Xenopus tropicalis: one gene and its partner. The protein of the gene in region 1 purifies or fractionates together with the protein of each later gene. This does not show direct contact. Links are inferred from orthologs where the notes say so. Each region holds a gene or a part of one and is shown on either strand. Other genes may lie near its edges.

What was found.
Region 2: the proteins of cttnbp2nl (region 1) and stk24 purify together in Homo sapiens (affinity purification with mass spectrometry; 3 studies listed by BioGRID and IntAct, with this or other methods). This does not show direct contact. The link is inferred for Xenopus tropicalis from reciprocal best matches to the Homo sapiens genes CTTNBP2NL and STK24.

What each region holds. Positions count from the first base shown.
Region 1 is NC_030678.2:60,442,608-60,451,692, forward strand, and holds the start of cttnbp2nl (CTTNBP2 N-terminal-like protein), read left to right. Parts: upstream 1-3,864; 5' UTR 3,865-4,330; intron 4,331-9,085. UniProt on the Homo sapiens protein: Regulates lamellipodial actin dynamics in a CTTN-dependent manner. Associates with core striatin-interacting phosphatase and kinase (STRIPAK) complex to form CTTNBP2NL-STRIPAK complexes.
Region 2 is NC_030678.2:121,393,647-121,402,201, forward strand, and holds part of stk24 (serine/threonine-protein kinase 24), read left to right. Parts: intron 1-1,500; coding exon 1,501-1,609; intron 1,610-3,223; coding exon 3,224-3,381; intron 3,382-4,134; coding exon 4,135-4,320; intron 4,321-5,656; coding exon 5,657-5,799; intron 5,800-6,811; coding exon 6,812-6,917; intron 6,918-7,395; coding exon 7,396-7,464; intron 7,465-7,837; coding exon 7,838-7,974; intron 7,975-8,555. UniProt on the Homo sapiens protein: Serine/threonine-protein kinase that acts on both serine and threonine residues and promotes apoptosis in response to stress stimuli and caspase activation.

The DNA of each region.
Region 1 (9,085 bases):
CTGTTTCTGCTACCTGCAACTGCATTTGACATTTGTGCTATTCTTCCTCAATACTGTGAGTATTAACCCGGCATATGCTGTGTACCATCAATAAACCAAGTTCAAGTTCAATGCAAAAGAACCACTGGGTCCATAATTACTTATATACACGTTGTGGCAGTGGAGAGTTGTAGTTTCGCAACACCTCTCAAGTGTAATTCTTCCGTTTTGCGAAGGCCCAGCCTGTGTGTTGGAGTCACATGTGCCCATGCTCATACCTGCTAGCCGGTACTGGCAAAAACTAGCCAGAATAGGGTTACAGCTGGAAGGGAGGGTTGAAGCGAGCAGTGTGTAAGGAGACCATAGGAATGTGTATGCCCCAGGAGGGATTGTGGGAGAACTTGTAGCCTCTAGATACGTGTGCAGTTGGGGGTTTACAGCAGTGTGGGCCTATGTAATTTTATAGCCATGGGGGCTGGGGTAGTGTGTAGGAGCCCTTCTAGTTATGTGTATGAAGTAGAGGGAGTTGGGACAGTGAGCCATGATCATGCTAGTGTGTTGTGTTCCTTGGTATGTGTATGTCCATGGGGGGGGGCACTATATAGATTTATGGCCAGTGGGAGTTGGGGAACTATGTGTATTGCTGTGGGTGTTGGGGCAGTGTGTGAGGCTCAGCTGTATGTGTATGGCTGTGGGGTGGCTTAGGGCAGTGTTTGGGAGTTTCCTTAAGTATGTAAAAGGCTGTGAGGGGTTAGGGCAGTGTGTGAGGTCCCTAGATATATTTGTGTATATTACAGTGTGGGGGGGGTTGGGCAGTAGATGAGGACCCTATGCAGGCTCATGTCCATGGGGGGGAGATGTTGGGGCAGTGTAGGACCCCTAGGTAGTGTGTATGACCCCATTATGACCATAAAAATATCTCACACTGCCCAAACCTTCCCTATGGTCATACATACTATAGGCCCCACAGTTTTGCCCTAGCACTATTACAGTCAAACACATACTAGGGTCCCAGCACACTGGCTCAATCCTGCATTGCCACCATCCATAAAGATATCTGGGGTGCCCACATGGGCCCAACTTCCCATATGGTCATACATATATTTATTACCCTAAATACTGCCCTAAATACTGCCACCTACCTAGTGTTCCAGCACACAATTTCAACCCACGCCCATAAACATACCAAGGGGGCTCACACAGCCCAATGCTTCCCTATGGCAATACACCTACCTATTGTCCCTAAATACTGCACCACACCCTTGGCCAGAAACTTACATTGGGGCCCTTCACATTGCCAAAAAGCATGGGCATACACATGCCTATGGGTTTACACAGCCCCAACCACAAACTGGCTACAAACTTACATAGCAAATCCACAAACTACCCCCAAATCACCACACTGTCCTAACCCTCTATAGCCATGAAATTACATAAGGTTCACACACTGCCACAACCCCATAGGGTTCCCACAGGCCTGGACAAGTTGCCTTTGCACTTCAAGTTTGCAGAGGTAAATCCCCCAGAGACCCACTAAATAGTGACTGGCATCTCCCAACACAGCCACATACTATACCTAGTGGCCCCACAGTGAGACATAATGTGGCAAATTCTGTGGAGGTCACAGGCTTTTATTAATTGAAACCATAAAAATTATATATAGGTACACCCTGACCACAGCTGCGGCTCTTATTTCCAAACACAAAAACTATTGTGTCTCCAAAAAACCAACGTGGGCGCAATGCCTCAGTGATCTTCATGTGTTCCTTCAGCAAAACAATCTGTTGACATGCAACCCCTGTGTGCTCAGATGCCCAGAAAATAAAAGAATGCCCCAATATCAAAATGTTGCAAGCCGTTGCACCTCCTACTGCGACAAAAAACAAACAAAAAACTTTGGTTAAGACTTCTCACTTGTGTTATTTACAGGCCTTATATACTTCTTGTATACCCTCGACTTCCATCTACCCAATGCTTTTATCTTGTCACTTCTACCACCCCCCATTGCAGCTTCAGTTGCTGCGCAGATTCTAAAAGAGTGGGTTCCAAACTTCTTTGGGGCCCAACCATTATCGATCACCGCCTTCTTCAGAACTTGCCTAAACTGAAAGGCTGAAAGAGGGGAACCATCTTTATGCAACAACAATAGCTGCCCCCCCTCCGGACGCATCGCCATGTATTCCCTTAACAGCTTTACTGGGTATGATACTTCCCCTGTTCCCTGTATACTTACCCATTTTCCTTTACCCATTTGATCTGTCTTCAACCTACTAATATAAATCAACAATTTATTCTTTTGTAATGATACATTCTTGTATTGCAATCCTTTTTCTATTGCCTTCTCCCGATGTGGTCTGATCGCTACCCACATCCCTAACTCCACCCCTTGCGACCCTTTCGTGGTTTGCGTTGGTGACAGTGGCAGCCTTCTTCCGGCCTTTTCCCCAGCACCGGACGTTTGGAGTTCCTCTCCTCCTGCAAAAGATACCTCACCTTCCTCTTCCGCGTGGTTCCTAACAACAACTCCCCCTGCTCCCCTCCATCCCGGAACCTTTTTGGCCGAAGGATCTTCCTCCTGGGCAATTCCACTCCTGCACCAATGGCGTCCATTATCATACCTCCCAACATTTGAAAATCAGAAGGAGGGACAAAAATGTCTGCCACGGCAAAATTTTTTAGGTCATGCCCACTTTATGGCCACGCCCCCCCCCCCAAACAGGCCCATTTTACAAAACCACACCTGAAAAGCATAACATATACAAAGTGCACCAGAAGACAGACACGGTGGCCCCAATCATTTTATGACATATTGTGGCCCTAAGGATTTCATTATGCACTGTGGCACCTGTATTTAATGACAGACTCATGACAGACATTGGTAGCCAGGTGTTATGTTTTGCATTGGCGCTAGAGCAGGGACCCCCTAAAACATTGCTGGTCCTCCCCCAGTGTCCCCCTACTATGGGCTGCTCCCCACTGCAGAATCCACCCAACATCCTCCAGCTCCCCCCAGCATCCTCCCCAACATCCTTCAGCTCCCCCCAACATCCTTCAGCCCCCCCAACATCCTTCATTTCCCCCCAACATCCTTCAGCTCCCCCAACATCCTCCCCAACATCCTTCAGTTTCCCCCAACATCCTTCAGTTCCCCCCAACATCCTTCAGCTCCCCAACATCCTCCCCAACATACTTCAGCCCCCCCAACATCCTCCAGCTCCCCCCAACATCCTCCCCAATATCCTTCAGCTCCCCCCAACATCCTTCAGCCCCCCCAACATCCTCCCCAACATCCTCCAGCTGCCCCTTACCTTCCTCCAGTGTCCTCCCCAGCATCCCCCTGCTCCTACCACCAGCTTCCTCGGCTGCGCCCCAGGGCTCTTCTTCTCATCCTTGTGACGTCACACGCACGTCTCCCCTTAGCGCCGCAGCTTCTGCACTGTGAATGGCTTTTTGTTAAAACTGAAGTGAGCGGTGCAGAAGCTGCGGCGCTAAGGGGAGACATGCGTGTGACGTCACGGGAGCGGAGACCTTTAAAAAGCGGGACAGATCCGCGCCTATCCGGGACAGTGGGACAGGGTGGCAAAATCGGGACTGTCCCGCGTAAAACGGGACAGTTGGGAGGTCTGCATTATTCAAGCGAAAATCACTTCTGCTGACTGATGCCTGCTGCTGATCCAGACTCTGCCAAATCCTCCACGGGCACCGATCCTGAAACAAGAAACAAGTAAGAATGTGGCCTTAACAAACATACATCCCATTACATACCTTGCTCTGCCTAAGTCCCCTCCCCTAGCCCACCCCTCTCTTTCCCTCCACTGCTCATCCTTCTATTGTTCTACCTGGAGCTGGCCGGGGGAGGGAGCAGGCCCTGCCTGAATGACCATATGGCTAAAGGGGGAAGGGGTCCCAGCCTAACTTCATTTCAGCCCTATTTGGGCTTCATTCACACTATTAACCATAATACTATCTGCGGTATAGCGTAAACATTCGCTATTTTTCTTCCAACTAGTTCATCGACTTAAAAGGTATACAGTTCCTTTATACATTAGGAACTAGCTGCCGCAGGGAGGACACATTAGTTTTAGTCACACTGTTCCTCTCCCCTGCCAGTAGCCTCTTTCCAGCCCACAGTCTGGCAGAGACTGTACCGAGCAAGGCTTGGCTGAGTGCAATGAACGCAGCCTATCCCATCAGCAGCCCAATCCCTAAGGGTGACCAGGAGAACCAATCCGCTGCCTGTTTACATGGTGCTCTGAAAAGGAGAGGGCTGTCCTCAATGAATAGAGTTGGGAGGAAACCTTCCTTGCAGTCTGCCTGATTGTGTCCTGTTCTGCAACAAAGGAGGAGAAGTGTAAGTGACAAAATCTTATTTCCACGAGTGTCGGGACGCTTTTGAGTGGGGTTTGGGTGGGCCCGTGGAGTACTAACTGGTTGGAAGGCATCAGGCAGCGTTTTTGTTCCAAGGGGGCCTCTCAAGGCTGCTCTGTACAGCTGTGCTTCAATACCGTGCTGCTGGATGGTGGTGCTCAGACACTGCACATCCTTACACTCTGCATTGGAACTGCTGCTGCTACTTTGTCTTTGTGCTGCTTGTGAGCCTGACTGGGTAGATGAATTTAAAACCAAAACAAAGATGTATTGTTACAAAAATGCAAGTTGGTTTAATTCTTATTTTTCTGATTGGACCGCTGGTGCTTTAAAGCAGAGATTGCTGTTCTATATTGTCATGTTAGGTGCCTGTAACAACTAGCCAACCTGGCCCTCCAACTTGGACTACAGTTCCCAGCAGGCTCATTGAAATCATACTGCATACAATATAGGGCTGCAAACTGCTTTAATACTCAGATGTGTTTGTAAAAATTACTGGATTACATATTATTCTAATGCGTTCGTTCAGAATTATTATTATTTTATTTTACCAAATATTTCCACTGTTTAATGACTTTTCAGAAGTTTGGAGTAAATTACAATGACTTTAAAGTATAGCACCCTCTATAATACATTTTTCTGTCTTAATGTAAATATCAGAAAATGTATCTGCCTGGGCACTAGCTCAAGTTTGCATGCTCTCCCCATGTCTGAGTGAGTTTCTTTGGGTAATCAGATTTCCTGTTACGCTCCAAAATTATACAAGCAGGTTAATGTCAGTTGCATGAGGAGCCAATTAGACTACCTTTATGTATTTAAACTGAGAGAAATCCCACATAGACATGGGATGAACAAAAAGCCTTGAAATCGAATCCTGGACCCCAGCAGGGCAAATATGCAGTATTACCCACTGCAACACCACAGGGCTGATTCACTAAAGTGCGATAAATTTTATCGCACTTTTTTTGCGTTAAAATAGACGCGAAAATTAGCGCGCGATTTACTACAGTATTACCATGTGCGTTAAGTCGCGTATCGCATGCGTTATTTTTTGCGCAACCGCATGCGTTAAATAGCGCGCTGAAAAGAATACAAACGCATGATTCACAATCACTTAGGCGCGCTAAATATCGCATTAGGCTATGCGAAAAATAACACCTACTGGAGGCAGGCGATAATTATAGAAAAGTACAGTAAATGAGCTTTTGGCAATAAAATATGGACTTTGCAATGCTATTTATTCAAGTATGTGTTGGCCCTAGAGTGACGCAGCCTCCAGTTTGCAGGGAAATGGTCATTTTTAATACAGTAATTTTACGAAAGTATTGGCATGTATGGCTAACATGGCGTGCGTTTCTTCACGCGACTATTTATATGCGGCTACAATTGATGAAATGTTTCGCCAGGCGAATTTTTGGACGTGCGACAATTTTTTTCGCGGCAAATTTTTTCATGCGTTTTGCCATTGGCGGATTGTTTTGCGAAACGCATGAAAAAATTCCCCGTGGAAAAATTCGCCGCACGTCCAAAAATTCGCCACGAATCCATGCCTGGCGAAACATTTCATCAATTGTAGCCGCATATAAATAGTCGCGGGCAACAATTTTTTTGCCCGCACGACATTGCAAATTTTTCGCTAAAGATAAGCGGAACAGAGCAGTTACTATTTATAAGCAGCTACTAATTATATGCTACCATTTATATGTGGCGACAATTCATATGCGGCTACTATCTATTTGTGGCGACTATACGCGGGTGTTAATTAGCGCATGTACCGTCAAATACCGAACGAAATTAGTCTTTGCGAGTTAAATAACGCATGCAATATCGCGCGTAAATTAGCGCAAGTATGCTTATAGTGAATCGTGCGATAAGTCGCGAAAATTTAGACGTGATAAAATTTTTAACGCACGCTATAAATAGCGCACGTTTTATCGCACTTTAGTGAATCAGCCCTCATGTGTCAGATGTGATTTCAGAGTGTGCATTTGCATATTTTATGTGCATACTAAACCTTTTTTTATGTAATCTCACACCCAGAAATTGCAATGAACTTTAATAGAAGTCAGTGGCTGTGATTTCTGTTTATGTGTATGAAGTCAGATCTGATTTTCAAGTCTTGTGAAAAACAAAAGTTTTGCCTTTTCATTCATATATGTGAGGTTTCAAACAGCTTTGGACATATGTTAAACTAAATTTAACTGTTAAAGGGATATTGACACTTTTCCACATTTACTAGAAGTGTTCATTTATCCTTTTAATAAACTATCCAGCTGCCTCCCACAAACCCCTGTACCCTTCTTCCTCACTGCGCAACCCATTAGAGACATGTATTGGTCACTGACACAGCTTCTGTCCATGATGCCATAGCAATTGACACTGCACTTGGAGTGCATTGGAAAGCCCTGATAGGCTGAGGCATTGTTTATATTTATACATGTAATGAGGTTCAGTGTGGACAAGTGCAAAGTTATGCAATAGAAATAATATAAACGCAAGCTATCTACTAAATGGCAGTTTGTTGGGGGTATCCTTAATTCCAGCAGAGCTCCAAAAGAGCATTGACTCAAGGGATGAAAACATAATTTTGCCTCTTTATAGGTCCCTGGTAAGGCCTCACCTTGAGTATGCAGTGCAGTTTTGGGCTCAAGTTCTTAAAAAGAGAGTGCAGAGATGTGCAACTAAACTGGTAATGGGGATGGAAGATTTAAACTGTGAGGTTAGACTGTTAAGGTTGGGGTTGTTTCCTCTGGAAAAAAGGGGCACCAGAGGTCACCCATTTAGATTAGAGGAACGGAGCTTCCATTTGATGCAGCGTAGGTGGTTTTTCACGGTGAGGGCAGTGAGGTTGTGGAATGCCCTTCCTAGTGATGTTGTGATGGCAGATTCTGTTAATGCTTTTAAGAGGGGCCTGAATGAGTTCTTGAACAAGCATAGTATCCAAGGCTATTGTGATACTAATATGTACAGTTAGCATTGATGTTTGCATATATAGTTTATGTATGTGAGTGTATAGATAGGCTAGTGTGTGCTGGGTGTACTTAGAAGGGTTGAACTTGATGGACTCTCTTTTCAACCCTATGTAACTATTTATCCTCATCCTATCAAGAATTTGGCCGATCCTGCAAGCGCAACATTGTCTGCTGAGAAATAATGGGCAGAAGTTGAGTGCAAAATTGAATTAAAGAAAGCTTAATATGCACAAAATGAAATTACAAAGGCAGGTGTCCCTGGGTACTGGAGCTGCAGCATGGGTCCGTAATGGGGAACCAGAGGGGCACTAAAAAAAAGGATAAAGTTATATTGACACATTTAATACATGTTTTGTTTATGGGAAATGTATTCCACACAGTGATTAAACAGCCATTGCTGGCCGCAGCCACTTGAATGGCAAACATGTTGCTTATAATAGACACTGGTACTGAAGTGGCAGCACTAGAGCCTGCCATAGACAAGGTGTTTCTCCATGAAAGGACTATGGTAGTCAAAAAAAGTCCTTGTGTCATTAGCCTTACACCTTCACTATTAGGTGGTCAGCTTTGAACATTTTGTTGTGCTTATAAAAATACCCTGAATAATCTCTTCTAGACCTTGAGCCATTGTACAACCACTTTTATGCTGTCTTGTTGACTCTCAAGTATTTGTGTAGAACTGGCATGTGTGATACAGAGAGAATTTGTTGGGAACCTCTAAAATTTACAGTAGATGTACATGTAGTAATTCATGGATATTGTATGCAAAAGTAAACTATTTATTAACATTCTCTTCGCCTATCTTCCTGTAGTGAAGCCCAGAACAAGTGGCTTTTGATTGTCACATGCACCGAGAAAACACTAAAATTATGCCTCAGATTTTTGGAACTGTCTAACCACAAAATAAACATTTCGGAATAAATTTGTTGTATTTTACAGTTTTAGATTTTTGAATTTTTAGGGTGTTCATACATGCCCAGGTTACAACTGTGGTTTCACTGCACAGCGTTGGTGAGTGCATTGTGCATCCACAGATGAGGAAGTAAAGAGGAACAGCAGATCCTCTACACTTCCTGCAGTTCTGAACAATACAATGAGGCAATTCACATGTATGGCTAGTTGTAGGTTCGTGGTCAGCATGCCACGAAAGCATAGCCAGTGAATGGGCATTTACTACTCTTATTCCTTTCTTATAATTGCATGGTTTGTGCTGATATTGTCAAAGACCAAAAGATTATCGGCTACAAAATAGAATTAATGAGTTAAGTAAAATGCAGATTTCCAATCTGTTCAGAAACAGCATAGTTCAGAATCAAATCTTTTCTGATTGATTGATGCTGAGGCATTATGTAACTCATTTTCAAACTGCATGGCTGGCAGGATGTGGTGGTCTAGCATGGTCACATTAGAAAGAGATTTAGGCTGCTTTCTCGAAGGATTATGTGCACTTGTGCTTCCCCTTTTTTAATTTAGCTGCTCAGTGCTTCAAATGGACATTGGCCTAGTTAGCATGGCTTATCTCTATCTGTTCAGGTATCAAACTTGTGTGGCGCCCACGCTGTCTTCCTATTGCTTTAAAAATAAATCCTGTGGCACCTCAATGGCTACAGTGCCATGAGCAGCTAAATAATGTGGTGTGCCCACAATACACATAATAGTACCTTACCAGTAATTGTTGTGGTAGTGTTTGTATATATATATACAATACAACCTTGTGACCAAGGTGGTGGGGTGGCTGACCAAATGTTGAAATGTGAAGGAGAGGG
Region 2 (8,555 bases), about 61 Mb from region 1:
ACCTCCTTCTGCCGATTCAGCTCTGAAGGGAGAAATTTGGTCAGGCGCCTTCTACGGCGCCCGATCAAAATTTTCAAACTGGTCCGATCGGTGAGTTGTCCGATATCAGCAGCTTCCTGCGATATCGGTCGACTCGCCGACATGCCATACACGCACCGATTATCGGACGAAATGAGGTTTCGTACGATAATATCGGTGCGTGTATGGCCACCTTAAGGGCTCTGGCACACGGGGGAGATTAGTCGCCCGCGATAAAACTCCCTGTTCGCGGCGAGGCGATTTCCGGAAATCGCCGAAAAAGACTCGCCGCCGCCGCGTCTGCCATCCCGCCGGCGACTTACATGTTCGCCGGTGGGATGGCAGGGGTAGGCAACTCGGGGAGATTAGTCGCCCGCGAACAGGGAGTTAATCGCGGGCGACTAATCTCCCCCGTATGCCAGAGCCCTAAGTGTAGGGATGGGTTGTCGGCTTGTTCTTATCTGCAGGCTTACAGTCCGCCCTGTGTGACCTTTCCCTAAGATTGTCACACTTCCCCATTCAGCTGTGGGTTAGTATTCCAGATTAAAACCAACTTCTGTTTTGTGAATTATTCACCCCCCAATAATATCTCTACAGCCCCCCTTTTAATTACACTTTGTATTTGTGAACTGTATATATGAACTCCTGAACAGGGTAGTGCTTAAAGGTGATAGCACACATGGAGATTTGTCGTCTGTAGTTAAATCTTTGCTACCGCAGACGCCATGTCTACGATAAAAGACCTTCTATAGCATAACATTAAAGGGGACCTGTCACCCCAAGACATAACTCCAAATTATTTTTGTTACTTGAGCAAAATAAATGTTACTTATGCTATATAAATAATATAAATCTTGTTTCCTTCCGTCTTGGAATTACTCAATCAAAGCAAGCAGGTAGGCACGATTTTGTGGACACTGTTATGAAGGCAAACTTTGTATCATGTCAAAATCTTGTTTATGTGCCAGAATGGGGGACCTGATGCCCATGCCCATGCACTGGCTACACAATTAGATGAGGAGGAGGGAGGGGGAAAGTGAGATGTGCAGTGACATCTAGGAAGTGCTGAATGGAAAGCTAAAGTTATTGTCTGCCCCGCCTCTATGCCTAAGGCATAGAGGCGAGGCAAGCAATATATGATTGACAGCTGGGATTTTTGAATGCCTTTATAATGGGTTTGGATGTGTTAATATAAAAATGAATTTGGGTTTCATGTTTAATTTGAACAGGACTTTTATTATACAGCTTTTTATGTCTGGGTGACAGGTCCACTTTAAGATCATCGCACGTAAAACCTATTCCGCTCTGTGATCTGGAATAAATGTGGGAAAAAGCCAGGTTGCTGTGAGTAATTAGGTTTCACTTGCGGCGATCTAACAATGGGCGAGATCTTCTCGTGTGCCATCACCCTTAAGCACTACCCTAACAATCCCTCAGTAAGTTCCATCACCCTAACCAACATTTTCTCTTCCCTCCTGGCAGTTAGAACCTGGTCCTTTAGATGAAACACAGATTGCAACCATTTTACGGGAAATCTTAAAGGGACTTGACTACTTGCATTCAGAGAAGAAAATTCACAGGGATATTAAAGGTAGGTCATTCCTTTTTCGTTATTCTGTCTGTTGTTGGAACTCTGTCTTCATATTCCTCTTTGTATCAAAATAATAGAAGAATGGGGATTATATTCCTTCTGCAGGGTTTACCATTCCATGCAGGTGTTGCAAATGAAATATGGCCATACATGGGCTGACAAAAGCTGTTGACAGACAGAGTAGGCAGGCATTCAGCCCGTGTGGGTCCTTTTGAAGGGCCTGCCCAATCAAAAATCGGGTAGATGTTAATTGGGCAGGTTCGATTTTCCGTCAGGTTGAGGGTATCTGTTGGCATCTGGACTGCATAATGGCCATTATGATCTGGTCGATTGGCCCTCGGGATGGGCATACTGCGTCAGGGGAAAGAACCATTCATTTGGTGACCTGGCCAAATGAGTGAATCTTTTAACTTACTTGCTGATTCTGCCATATTAATAGAATTGCTTAGCAAATGAAATGGATAAATTGTCTTATGTTATATGGAGCCTGAACTGGGGATTCATTTGCATAGTATTTGAAGCACGTTTGAAAAGAGTTCAGTTGGTTTGATTGTTTATTTTGTATGTGTTTCGAATGATACAAGATTTTATTCTGCATAGATCCAGCTTGCAGCAAAAAATTTCTTTAATGGTTTTTATTTTTTTATTGCTTTTTTGTAGAACAAAAAAGTATTTAAAAAATCATAAATAATAAATAAATGAAGACAGTGCTGATGTTCACTTTTTACAAAGCCCCATCAGAGTGCTGGGAATGCAAAAGAAGAACTTTACCCATTATAATGAATTTTTTAAAATGCTTCCTTTATTAATTAAAATGAGGCGCTTACCCAGTTAGAGATCAGCGAGACCGCCAGAGGAAAAGAGAGAGCACAAAAGCTTTTCCTTGAGTGGTACTGCACATGCGCAAGCTCTCATCTTTCTTATGCAGATTAATCTGTTGGCTGCTGCAGCTAACAATAGGCCACACATGTACGGAAACGATTAACTTGCTTTTCAACTGAGAATACTCCTAACTCCCTGCTGCCAATGTTTGCGTGCAGGTGGTGGGTGAGAGGTTGGCGACCCCTTCATCCAGAGGGGCATCACATTGTTGATAAAATGGTAAAAACTATATAGAATAAAATTAATTTTTAAAAAAAAGAATTTTTTGTCTTGCATAGGTGTTTCAGAACCCTTTGAAATTCAGCCAGAAAGTCTGTTGGTCAGGATGTGTTTAAAGCTTAGGTTTTACATGCAGGTTTGTTGCAGCAACTTGGCCTTCTGCATAAACAAACTTTGCTGAGCATTATTATGCAGCTGCTACACTGACACAGTCTTGCTAGACCTTTAAGAATTTGTTCATATTGTGCACGGTTGATTTAAGAATTATGTACAGGACACTTACAGATCTATGAATATATAAATAAGCCTGAGTGTTTAACCCTAAATTTGTCCTGTTCTTTCATCATCAGAAATCATGGCAATCATAACTATACAAAGGAAGTGCCCAAAGCAGTGCAGCATTAACTCAGACGCATAAGTGTATTACACATTTCCGTATTGTTACCATAAATTGCAGTTGTGTTTGGCAGATAAATGGATTCTTTATGTTGGAATGTTTTTGCTCTTTTCCAGCTGCCAATGTGCTGTTATCTGAACACGGGGAGGTGAAATTAGCTGACTTTGGTGTTGCAGGACAACTTACTGACACACAGATCAAAAGGAACACCTTTGTTGGAACTCCATTCTGGATGGCACCAGAAGTTATAAAGCAGTCTGCATATGATTCCAAGGTAAGAGAAGAAGGTCAGCGCTGGTCCATGGCTGGTTTTCCATGCTTGCTAGTGAACATAGAGAACACAGAGAATTTACGCCACAAAGAAATAGTGTATGTGGAAAATGGAGGAGGATGTGTAGATAATTAGATGCAAAAGTGGCTACTGGAGCAATTTCTCTTGTCGCAAAATCATTTTTGTGTTTTATTAGCAAAGATTCACAGGAGAAATTTCAACTGGAGAAAAGATATGAATTCTCACCAGTGTAAAGAGAATATTTACCAGTACAAAGTTTATTAAGAGAAACTTGTAATCTCCTGTTAGAAAATTGGTGAATTTTCATTTTTGGTGAAATTGCTCAAAATTTTGCTTTCACTCTTTAGTAAATATGCCCCACTGTCGGGAGCTTGGAACTACTGCACACATGCAAGTCACAGGCCCACCTTGCTGGCATGTTGCATATGCAGAGGGGAGGATTGGATAAGGCAACATCACTATTATGCCATGGTTACTTTTTCGATTTGGTTGTTGTTGTTTTTCTTCCTCATCACCAGAAACTCCTATAAATCATAAGATCAGTGTGTACTTTATGTGCCCTTTGCAGTGAAATTCAGCCTTGTACTCTTAACATACTTTAGATAAAGAGATCAGTGACAGTTCCTGCGTGTGCCATCGCTGAATTATCTAAATTTTTGAATTAAAAGAGAAAATCTACATGTCTTGTTGCAGCTGCTATGGGTTTCTATCCTTATGCGTTTATTTTACATACAGGCAGATATCTGGTCCCTGGGCATAACTGCTATTGAACTGGCAAAAGGAGAGCCTCCTCACTCAGAGCTACATCCCATGAAAGTCTTGTTCCTTATACCCAAGAACAATCCTCCCACACTGGAAGGGAACTACAGCAAGGGTCTGAAGGAGTTTGTAGAAGCCTGCTTAAACAAGGAGCCCAGTTTTGTAAGTCTGCTGCAATACAGCGCCAATGTTGGACCTTAAATGCTTGTATATAATATTTTCTTAGCCTTTAGACCAGGGATTAGTTTCGAATTATATTATCTAACAGACAGTTGAGAGCATTCTTTACGACCAAGGCTTTATTGATCTTACATAGGGGATTTTTGTGACCCTTTATAACTTTGATTGCTTGACTTTTGTATGCCTTATGTGACACTCGTGCACCTAGGCTTCAGATTGCACTGTGCTGCAGGATCTCTCAGGTAGCAGGCGAGTGTCACCAAGAAGATCCAGGCCACCTGCATTAACTTGTAACATCCACTGGGTCAATAACTTGTGAAAGCAGCTATCCTGATGTTCTCTCTTTGTTGTGTAGAGCTCAATATATTGGCGACTTTCCTCTGCTTTTAATTACTAAAGGGAAAACTGCCCTTGGAGGCATTGGATCTGTTGATTTTCTTACCCCAGTGAAGTATATGCCATAATATTAATACATTTAGCAAACAGGACAGGATCAGCTATGTTCTTAATCCCAGTTCCCTCAAGTTCACAAGCAGCAGCACTGTCTTTATTATGGGTTGATTGATGCTTTCACTTTAGGATTACTAAAGTAATAATTGTACATATCACTCTGCTCCCTGGACTTTTATAGTATCTTTGTAAGGAAACCAGCCCCTTTCACATAAAGCCTAAAATTGTTGGGGGTCAAATGTAGCTTCTGAACTGCCTGATAGCTATGTGGTAGCTGAGCTTCAAGGGAAGCGGCTAGGATTCCTTATTGTGAACTCTGCAATCAGCTTGCATTTAATGTCCTCTTTAAAGTAGAGACTTCTCTTGGCAGCTATGTGCAGCACCTACATTCATATTAATACCGGGAGGATTCATGACTTGCACACATTATGCCATAAAGTAACTTTGTGTCCCTTTGGAGTCAATACACATTGCTATATATTGCAGTGGTAACTCCTACAGGTTGATCTGTTTTATGATATATCAACACTTTTTTCTGGCCGATAACATTATACTGATTGGTAAAATGTATTGACAGTTAGCGTGCTGGCCTGTCAGTTAAAAATGTGTATAATGATTTGTAAAGTAAAAGCACAGAAAGTGGTCTCTTGGACTGAAGGTTAAAGAAAACCTAAATCAAAAGTAAACAGCTTGACCTTCTTACTGAAGATATGGACTCCCACATAGAGATCATGGGGTTTCTGCTAAATGACAAATACTTGGGAGTGGCCGGCTCATAAAACTAGCTGATATCTTTTGTTATACATAACTTATTGCTTGAACCTGTTCTAAATGGAAATATATGAACAATTTTTTTAACCTCTGCCAGAGACCCTCAGCTAAGGAACTGCTGAAACACAAGTTTATTATGCGAAGTGCAAAGAAAACCTCCTACTTAACAGAGCTCATAGACAGATACAAGAGATGGAAGATAGAACAGGGCCATGAAGCCTCCAGCTCAGACTCTGAGGAGTAAGTACCAATGAAATGACTTTGCTAGTGGTTTGGCTTACTTGTATGTAAGGTCAAAGCACTATTAATATTATAATAAGCCACTTCTTGCTCTTCTACATATCTGTGTTCAGCGGCACTAACTCTGTGTCGCTTCCTGAATTGCGTACATTGATGTAGGAAACCCTGAAGCTGCTGTCCCCTTCAAGGGTGCAGTAACCGCAGTGTTCCCATAGTGGCCTGTGTCATTTGATGCAGTGGACTTGCACCTAAAGAATCAGGGCACAGCCATTGTTTTAAAGCAGAGCCCCACCAATGTTGACATCTGAACCCAAAAGATTCTCAGCGCAAGTGTGTCTGATTCACATTGAACTGTACATGCAAAAATATGGCTTGTGCTCAAAATAAGCCCTTTTGTGTTCCTTCTGATGGTGTTTTCATTTAGAATGTGGGATTTATAAAGCAAGAATTGGAAATAGAAACAAAATGGAGTTACCACATGTACAGTGTAGTTGCCTTTGGAAGTGACTCCATCCCCAATGATTATTTCCAAATTTACTTCAGCATTAACTCTGGTGCCTCAGCTCATTAACACTCAATGAATTCCTCCTTTGACCCCATCCTACTGTTCAGTAATAATGAAATGAAATAAGTTGATGGCTTAAAAATACTCCAGAGCTGATCATTTTGTGTTAATACATATGTTTTTTGCTGCTTGCAAAGTAGTGGTTATCTTGGGTCAGCATTTGCTGCTCTGGGGGCTTCTGCAAGCAGTTTCAGTTGTCCCTGACAGCAGTGCAGACTGAGTGTCAAATCCTGGGGATAAGAGAAACTGGTAGAGAGACTGGTTGGGTATGCCAGTAGGAATTACAAATGCAGCTGCAAGCTAATCACCTTTTCTAAAACTGTGTGTGTTCTATGAAAAAATTGAAATAATTATAGTAATACAGGGGAAAATTGATCAGGCATAGAGTGCAGGTTCAGTAATAAGAAATAAACCTTGTATATATGTCTGCCTTTGCCCACTGTAAAGGGAAGAAGTAGATCAAGCTGCTGGCAGCGAGAAGGATTATTGGAACTTCACAAGAAGAAAGAGAGACTTGAAGAACTTGGAGCCCATTCCTGCACAGCCAGAAGAGGTAAGGCATAAAGTCTGAGTCACAAGAAAAGTTCCTATTGTCCAGCCATTATACTACAGTTTATATTAATATGAACCAATGACTTATAATGGTAAGTGCTTGCTACACTCCCCAGCCTTGCTTGATATGGGAAAAACATACACTGCCTATTACTTTAAATCTTATAATAAAGTAAGTGCTTAACAATGTCTCCCTCCGATGCTTTTAGGAGTAGTCAAGGCAGCATAATCCCTGTCTTTTTCATTTATTATTATAGCATTAATTGTATTGATGGCAGTAAGAGTCATGTTCTTTAAATGAACAAGAATGGAAAGGGTTATGTGCAGTACTCACCGTCCTCACTTCTCTTTGCTTGTATGTATATATGCTGTATATTAAGAAATATGAATTTTGTCTCTTTTAAATTAAAATAATCATTCTTCTAAAATGTCTGCTTACTGACGAATACTGATTTATTTTTTTTTACATTACATTTAAGGTTAAAGACATTCCCAAACGGCCATTGTCTCAGTGCTTATCTACAATTATGTCTCCTTTATTTGCAGAGGTAGGTACATTTTGTCTATTCTTTGGCTCATTCTTGTTTTAATGAGCAGCTGCCCCTAAGGGTAAGACTGATGCCACATGGGGCTGATTCTCGGCTTGTTGAAAAATGCAGACCAAGAATCGGCACCCTTCGCTGGTATCAGCTGCCTTCTTTGCCTTCACCTGGAGCCATTGTGTTGCCCAGGGTGCAGGCACATGCAGGAGATATTGGTAAAGAAATGCCGCATGTGCCCAGACTCGCACATTTGTTCTGGGTGCAGCCAAAGAAGAAGGCTGATGCCAGCTTAGGGGCTAATTCTCAGACTTTCCCACAGACCGAGAATCATCCCAGTGTGGCATTAGCCTTAGACTTTTGCATTTTTTTCTACTTTCAGCTGAAGGAGAAGAGTCAAGCGTGTGGCGGGAACGTAGGCTCAATAGAGGAACTGAGAGAGGCAATTTATTTAGCTGAAGAGGCCTGTCCGGGTATCTCGGACTCCATGGTATCACAGCTTCTTATTAGGCTTCAGAGGTGAGAACTAACATTTTGCATGGATTTGTTTCTTGCTGATCACATATATCAATGTGTGCGTGAGTGTTGTGTATTTCACCGTGACCTGGTTCTGCATAGCAATAGTTTCAATTTAGTATTTACCACTTGTTTTGCCACCGGGACACCACACAGTAATAGAGAAAAGACAATTTAGTTGGTTAAGGAGTCAAATTTCACACAATTTAATTCAAAGCTTTATACTTAAATGAAACCTTTGGAGCACACAATAACCCAGACAGTAATTTAACTTAATTGTTTCCTTTGGAGAGAGTGGGACCTACCTAGATTGGATTTGGTATGCCGAATGCTTGGAACTTTTTTTTCTTTGCTTCTGTCTCTTGCTCTAAGGCTAAAATATACTAAAATGATATAGTATATGTGACCCCCCCCCCCCCCCCCCCCAAACTTGTAGGCAATAATGAATAATATGTGGTGCAGATTTCACTCAGGGCTAAAAATGATCATTATCTTTAAAAAATGGCCCCTTTTATTGGAGCTCCCTGTAGATTTGCCCTCTCCTTGTTTCAAATAAGGTGTACCAGAAGCACAGTAGAAGCGGG